2 linked regions of the Mus musculus genome follow. The protein of the gene in region 1 binds, or shares a complex with, the protein of each later gene. Links are inferred from orthologs where the notes say so. Each region holds a gene or a part of one and is shown in the gene's direction. Other genes may lie near its edges.

The links.
Region 2: Fbxl13 (region 1) and Efcab2 share a complex: the UniProt entries of both Homo sapiens proteins name them as parts of the nexin-dynein regulatory complex. The link is inferred for Mus musculus from reciprocal best matches to the Homo sapiens genes FBXL13 and DRC8.

Annotation. Positions count from the first base shown.
Region 1 is NC_000071.6:21,617,808-21,621,625, reverse strand, and holds part of Fbxl13 (dynein regulatory complex subunit 6), read left to right. Parts: intron 1-109; coding exon 110-177; intron 178-861; coding exon 862-1,016; intron 1,017-3,818. UniProt on the Homo sapiens protein: Substrate-recognition component of the SCF (SKP1-CUL1-F-box protein)-type E3 ubiquitin ligase complex.
Region 2 is NC_000067.6:178,404,771-178,409,122, forward strand, and holds the start of Efcab2 (dynein regulatory complex protein 8), read left to right. Parts: upstream 1-1,247; 5' UTR 1,248-1,332; coding exon 1,333-1,363; intron 1,364-4,352. UniProt on the Homo sapiens protein: Component of the nexin-dynein regulatory complex (N-DRC), a key regulator of ciliary/flagellar motility which maintains the alignment and integrity of the distal axoneme and regulates microtubule sliding in motile axonemes.

The DNA of each region.
Region 1 (3,818 bases):
AACTCACAGAGATTCTCCACCTCCGCAGTGCTGGGGTTTTAGGTGTGTGCTATTGACACTCAGCTTTGCCCTATTTATTTCTAATAGTTTAATTGCTTCTTTACTTTAGGTGACTCCAGAGTTGATGATAAAAGCATGCACATTTTACACTGGACATTTAGTAAAGACACATTTCAGGTAAGAATGTGATTTTACATAGTATTTCTTTTTCTTTGCTTCTTTAGCCCTGCTGTTCTCCATGCATAGGAAAGCCCACTCCAGGCCACCCATGCTTCCAGTACATTTATTGATTTGTTTATATTTGATGAGTTTATACTTAGTAACAACACCTCTTCTCTAAAAATGAACGTGTCAAAAATCCTTGGAGTTGGATATGCTTGGGAACCGAAATTCCTTTTTAAATTTTTTATTTTTTTCAAAACAGAGTTTCACTATGTAGCCCTAGCTAGCCTAAAACTCACTATGTAGACCAGGCTAGCCTCTGACTCATAGAGATCCACCTGCCTCTGGCTCCAGAATACTCGGTTAAAGGCAACACTGCCCGGCCTTTTTAAATTTTTGAAATCATCATTAAAGATGATTCTCTGCATATATTTAAGTTATGATAATAATATTATCCCAAGATGTGGTTATTTTATTAAAAAGGAAATATGACTACCATGTAGCATTTTACCCTCCCTGGCAACTATCAGAAATTCTTCAAGACATATCCCCAATTTACAGGTTTTTTTTCTTGCTGTGATTTTGAGGGGATAAAAGTAATCTCACTTCTTATTCCTCTTAATTTATTTACTATTATATTACCTTAGTTTCAAAGTAATATTTTGAAAGTAGTATCTTTCTTGTATCTTTTGCCTGCAGTGGTTGGAAAAAAGTTGCAATACCTCGTGCAAATCAAGAGGAGATCATGGCTGAAAAAATGGACAAGGCAATAGCACATGACAATTTTAGATGCCAAAAATACATTTTTAATCGCTGGTTCGCCTACACGGTTATGAGTAGAGAAAGACTTATAAGTAAATGTTTCGGCCATAGCAAATAGTGTTGGGGTTTAATTATGAAGTGGGTCAATGACCGAATGGTTAAAAATATGCCTCAAGAATAGGTTTAGTGTTTAGAGAACTGTTATTAAATGGACCAATTCAAAGTACATGTGACAGCGCATGCCCACCAGAACTCAGAACACTGTGACAGAGCAGTGAGTTCAAGGCCAGCCTGGGCTGTAGAGTAAGACCTTGTCATAACAGAGCAAAGCAAAGCAAAACAAAACAAAACACAATAACACAACCTAATGATTTTGTTAGATTCATTTTAAAATATTTTATTGCAATCGAAAGTGCTCACAGTTAAAATCAAATCATATGTGAACTTGCACACACACACATGCATGCATGCATATATAAATAAGTATCTACTGCTGCCTTTTTGGCCTGGTACTGAACCTAGAGCTCTGTACAAACTAAGGGAGCACTCCTCCACAGAGCTTTATCCACACACTCCCTCTTGTTCTTAAGTTTGAGACAAAGTCTTTCTAAGTTGTTCATGTGAGCCTCTCAGTAGCTGAGATCACAAACCTGTACCACCAGGCCCAACTACTTCCAGCTCTTACACACAATACAGAGCCAATAGTGTATACTCATTAGAAACCAACATTGACACAGAAAGCCTGCATTCCTTAGACACATTTCCTTTGATGTGATGTTCCAGGTGAAGAAGCTTCAAGAAAACGATTTTCTCTGTGATGCATGGACAACACACATGGGGTCTTAGCAGGGCCAGAGGACGCCTGCCTTTTAGTCACAGCTTTTTGGATTCTAAATTGTACCTATGGCTGTGCCAAATCAGAAAAGTCTGGTTGATCTTACTCTTGCCCTTGGTACAAGGTCTTAGTGTGTAGCCTAGGATGGCCAAGGACAATCCTCCTGCTTCAGCCCTGGCATTCTGAGATGACAGGTGTGAGTCACCTGAGCCAGCTGAAATCATTTCCTTTTGAGCTGTGCAGTCTGTCTCTGCCTCAAAGTGAACTCTGAAAGTTTTATCATAAACCCAACAAAGGGTTATGGCTAGCCTGCCACAAGGTAGTTGTAGTCTGAAAGGACACTCTTCAAAATCCTGAGTGAACTGCAAGCTCTTTAGAGAGTCTGGATGTGCTGGACCAACCTCCTGTCTTCTCTGCCCTTCTGGGTTCTTGTCTCAGCACCGCTCACCCGCCCATGGCCCATCGTGTGGCTTCCTGCTTCCTTGTTCCACGCTCTTCTTTCCCCAGGCCTTTCCCTTCTCTTTGGCTCCATCTCTTCTCTGCTTTGCCAGTGCCTCCTGAAACTCCCACCCCCACTGAGGTGAGACCACATGGGGCCTTGCTCCCTTTTCCTTTGTCCCCTTTCTCTGCTCTCTTTGTCCTTAACCCCACCTGTTTCCTTTCTGTAGTTTACACCCTTGGGGGAACCCTTGTCTACCCTGTGTCATCTTATGTTTCCCTAATTCACAACAACCAGTCACACATTTGTAAATTATATATTAGATTTATGACCTGGGCTCAATTCTCAGCACCCATATGGAAGTTCACAACCGTCTAACTTCAGGGCCAGGGGATCTATCTGATCCTCTCCTCTGACTGCCACGGGTACCAGGCATACACAAGCTCCACAGTCATACATCAGGCAAAGCATCCATACATTTCTTATACATTAAAAGTAAAACCCCAAGGTCATGTGATCTCTTAGTTACATAATCCTAAGACACGACCCGAGTTACATTTACATGGTGATGCTTCTTTGACACTGTTCCCCCTTCTCTACCCTCACGTCATAGCACATTTGTTTCATTTAACTCTCAATCATTAAAAACTTAAAGTTTTGTTTGATTATTGTCAGAATTTCCAAGTATTAAGTCTAAAATATGATTCTCAAAGTAGTACCCTTAAAATGAACAAATAATAGCATAGATTTATAGCATTTGAATATTTTATAATATACTTGTATCATGTGATGTCTTAAATGTCTAAGAAATATTCTAATTTGGTTTAGAAGATATATAATCTAGTAATAGTAAGTGATATAAAAATGAGGAATTAAAAAAGAAACCACGCTCATTCCTTCCAGAATGTTCTAACTTCATACTCATTACAACTTAAGTGATACAAGCTAAGATTGTATACATTTACATGTATAGAAACATAATTTTTATAGGTAACAACTCAAGAAAAAGCATTTAAATGAAAATGAGTGGAAGAAATGAGAGTGTAGCAGATGTGGGATTGTGAACGCACATACACATCTCAGCTGGTAACAGCAGCCTAACTCAACTAGTAGAGTTCTGGCTTCTCAAAGAGCTTAGATTCTAGAACAAAATTATGATGTTCAGTGAGGTTCCAACCCATTGGCAGGTATAGCAACAAACAAACAAACAAACAAGGCTTTAAATTTTCACCTGTGATGCTGAACACTGTTAGCTGCTGTGTTTTGTTCTGTTTGCATAACATTCAAATGAAAAACAGCATTGTCAAACTTTAAATGTCAGAAGTATTCATGCACCATTCAGATACCCATTTTTAGTTGAAAAGTGAAGTAAAATAAAAAGCTAACACAAACTCTGAACCTCAACTTCAGAGAGAAAAAAAGAGTGCCTGCAGCCAGGTACAGTCAGGTGCAGTCAGATGCAGCCAGTGCTGCCAGGGGTAACCAGTACAGCTAGGTGTAACAGATGCAGCCAGTGCTGCCAGGTGTAACCAGGTGCAGTCAGATGCACGAGGTGTAACCAGTGCAGCCAGGTGTAACAGGTGCAATCAGATGCACCAGGTGTAACCAGTGCAGCCAGGT
Region 2 (4,352 bases), on another chromosome or scaffold:
TTTTGTTTTTGTTTTTGTTTTTTTGAGACAGGGTTTCTCTGTGTAGCCCTGGCTGTCCTGGAACTCACTCTGTAGACCAGGCTGGCCTCGAACTCAGAAATCTGCCTGCCTCTGCCTCCTGAGTGCTGGGGAAATTTGCTTGATATGCACCATTTTCTGATTATTCAAATTGTAGTTAGACACTTCATCAAATCTTTATTGCCTATAGAAAAAAATATTTTAATGAAGAGTACAGTTGGCCTGCTTTGAGGGTTCATTCACTGAGATTACAGAACTTCGATGAATAAAAACTAATAATAAAAAATAAAATACTGAGATGTAAAGTGAATAAATAACTATATTAAAGAAAAATCAAGACAAAACAAAGGCCTCTACATTTAGTTACTTTTACAAAAATATTTAAATAAGTACACATATACCATGAAATTATCATTAAAGATTAAAACTAGATATTAATTTGAGTCACATTGTTAGACATTTCAAAACTGTTGGGTTTTTTTTGTTTGTTTGTTTGTTTGTTTGTTTTGGGGGGGTTTCATTTAAGGGAGAATCTTAGTATTCTGAGCTTATCCATCAAATAACAAAACACGCGATAGCCAAGTTTCTCAGTACTCAAAATTCTCATCGGAAGGTCATGCCAAATTGCACCATCAACATACAAAATGTGTGTATCCCTGAGAACAGACCGTCAATTTATTTGTTGCTATGAGAACACTATTTTGTATCAGAAATTGCAGCCTTGGCGACGCAGTGTTTGCGCCTATTTTGCACATGTTTTTCTACAGCAAGTCCTCTCTCTCTCTCTCTCTCTCTCTCTCTCTCTCTCTCTCTCTCTCTCTCTCTGCGATCCCGGGGAAAGGCTGGGCTTCCTCCTGCACTGGCCCATGTCCGTTTTCGCTCCAGTTCCGTGACTGGCAGAGTGGCTCCGCTCAGGAGAGGGTGACGCCAGAGAGCCACAAGGCCTGGCTCGGGTGGGGTTGGGGTGGGCGGACGCTTTTCGGGGAGGGACCGTGTAAGGGGCCGCCAGGTCTGCGCCCGGTTCTGGGGCGCACCTGAGACGGCCGGGAAAAAAAAAAGCTGAATAAAATAAGTAATTAAAGAAATGAATAAAGAAATAAGCAAGGCACACTACGTCCTTGACAGTCACAATCAGGCCCAGGCGGGTTCCGGAGCCTTGTTAATAAATGACGCCCCTAGGCCCAAAGAACGCGGGCCTCGGTTCTGGTGGGGGCGGGGATCGGGGGGCCACCGTGCATCCAGGGGCTTTCTCCGCCCGCGGGGTCCCGCAGGGTTCGTGCTGGATGTCTCCCGGGCGACCGGCTCCGCACCAAGATGGCGGAGGAAAGGGACGCGGAAGGGACAGGTAGGACCCTGCCTGGGGTGCCACGACGTCGCCTCTGCGCCTGAGGAAGCGCCCCCCGGCCAACATCTTGAGCCCCTCGGCGTGGCGACAGTGGGCTGAAAAGCGGCGCCAGCCCGCGTCCCCACCGTCCGCCCTCCCGTCCCCTCGAGAGGTCTGCGCGGGCTGTTGTAGCCCCCGCCGGGGAGGTTCATAATGGCGTCCTTGTCCCTGGCACCTCCCCTCCCCGTGAGGGCGCCAGCCGCGGTCTGGGTGGGCTGTGGGTAACCCGGAGGGCGGCCTCATGGAGGACTGGAGCTGCGACTAGAACCTGGCGGGATCCTCTGCGGCTGTGCCGAAACCCCGCCCAGCCCGGCCCAACCCGGCCCCAGCCGCCTCCATTTTGCCTCCTCCTCCGCCAGGCGGAGCGCAGCCTCCAGGTCAGACTGGGCCCTAGCGGCCCGGGTCGCGCTAGAGCCTTGCATAAGGAACACGCACTTTAATCACTTTAAAGAAAACCCAGCCGGGACTTGTCGGGCCGCCCAGACCGGCCGGGTACCCGAGAGGCCTCAGGGGACCCGAAAAACTAATGTTTCATGTTGAACTGCAAGACCTTTTGAATTGTTGCTAACCCAGCCGAATGACTTAAAATCGGATCTGTGACTCAACAGCCATTACGTGATAAATTGACAACATCACCGCTAAATAAATAGTCAAGCAAGCCCTAAAATAGTAAATGGCAAACATTGCAAAAAAAGTGAAAGTAACACTCCATCTTTGCTGACTCTCTCCCCTCCCTCTTGTATTCCCCCACCCCCACCCCCACCCTCTGGTTTGGAACACAGTAGTTAGGTTAACAACTAATATTTACACGAGTTGTTTAGTCCATTGTCATGGTGATTACAGGAACCCAGCAGGGAAACTTGAGACCCTAGATTTTTTTTTTTTTTTTTTTTTTGGTTTTGGCTGTCCTGGAACTCACTTTGTAGACCTGGCTGGCCTCGAACTCAGAAATCCGCCTGCTTCTGCCTCCGGAGTGCTGGGATTAAAGGCGTGCGCCACCACTCCTGGCAGCTAGAGATCTTATTGATGACCTGTGATTTATAGATGGTAAAATTAATCTCAGAAGTCGGCATTGTAGTATAGAGTTTTAACTCTACTAAGGTATCAAGATTTTTGTGGTGCTATTTTAGAAATGGAAGGTTTTATTCTACTTTTTTGTTGTTGTTTTTACAAAGAATATGAAGTTAGAGGGCAGGGAGTGTCGGTGAGGTGTTGGGGGAAGGGAAAGAATATGATCAAAATATGTTGTATAAAAAATGTTTTAGGTGAGTCGGGGGTGGTGGTGCACACCTTTAATCCCAGCACTTGGGAGGCAGAGGCAGGCAGATTTCTGAGTTCGAGGCCAGCCTGGTCCTACAAAGTAAGTTCCAGGACAACAAGGGCTACACAGAGAAACCCTGTCTCAAAAAAAAAAAAAAAAAAAAGTTTTAGGTAAAAAAAAAAAAAAAGCTTCCCCAGAAAGTATTTTTTTTTTTTTAGTTATACTTTTATTACCCCCCTCAAAAAAAGTAAAGGAGAAAATCATTAGGGGATGAATTATTTTTTAAATTAATTTACCTTATGTGTATTGGTGTATTGCCTTTGTGTATGTCCTTGTGAGGGTGTCGGATCCCCCAGAACTGGAGTTGCAGATGGTTGTGAGCTGCCATGTGTGTTCTGGGAATTGATCCAGGATTCTCTGGAAGAGCAGGTAGTGCTTCTAACCTCTGAGCCATCTGTTTTTTTGTTTTTTGGGTTTTTTTTTTGTTTTGTTTTGTTTTTTAAACAAAATCTAAATCATTTGGTTTTACCAATGAAAACCCGGGAGCCAGAATCTGTGGTGAAAGTTTGCTAGCTCAGAGAAGCAGAGAAAGCACCCAGCTGACCCTGCTCCTCAGCCAGTGTCCCAGACATTGTTTTTTTTTTTTTTTTTTTTTTTTTAAATAATCCTATGTTTACTCTCTGTCAATTGGTTGCTTGTTCCACCTCTTAACTTATGGTTGACTTTATTTAATTTTGTTTATAATATTCAAGCAGAGAACTCTTGGATAAATGCATATGCTAAAGCTGAAACACACCACAACTAGAGACACAATAGGTGTTATTAACACAGTGGGAACAAATATCCATCTCTCCAGACCCCTCCTTTTCTTTTTAAGTTAAAGACTTATTTAGGGTAGCATTGGAGTATACTGCAAGTTTTTACAATGTAAAATTATACACACACACACACACACACACACACACAACACTTAGGATCTCACCTTGTAGCTTTGATTGGTCTGGAACTCCCAGAGATGCACCTGTCTGCATCTGAGTGAGTGCTGTGACTAAAACTGTGTGCCACCACACCCAGCCTGATTTTTACAGTTGTTATCCCTGCTTGAGAGAGACAGAGACAGACAGAATTTCTGTTTCTTTAGTTTCCAAAACATATTTTAATGTTTAGTGTAAGTTTAGGAGAAAAAACAGTTCAGTCTGCAACTAACTGTGGAAGTAATGGCTGTTGAAAGCTGGATTTCATATATTCAATTTCTTATATATTTAATGCTTGCTTCATGGAAAGTAGTCTGGTGAATGTTAAACCTGAAAATTGTGATGAGGAAGATGGAATCCATGGTTGTCCAACTGAAGTAAGCTTTATTAAATACTGGCCAGGAAGATGGACACTGGCCATGTCCCTATGTGGGATTCTTACAGAAATGGTGATGAATTCCATCCTTCAGGTGCCTGTTAGGCCAGGCTCATGAAACTCCTTACTTTCCACCTTGGTTCACTGGGGCAAGCATACATCCTGACTTCCTTCCTGCCTGTGCGTCTCCTGCCTGGATGTGACCAAGCACATCCTGTGCAGTTGGGACAACAAACTTTGTTTATTGAAGGGGAACAGGGATTCATTATCTGACAAAAACAACAGCCCTCTGCATTCCTGGGAGTTATCTGTCCTTGGGCGAGTGGGGTTTAAAGCTTA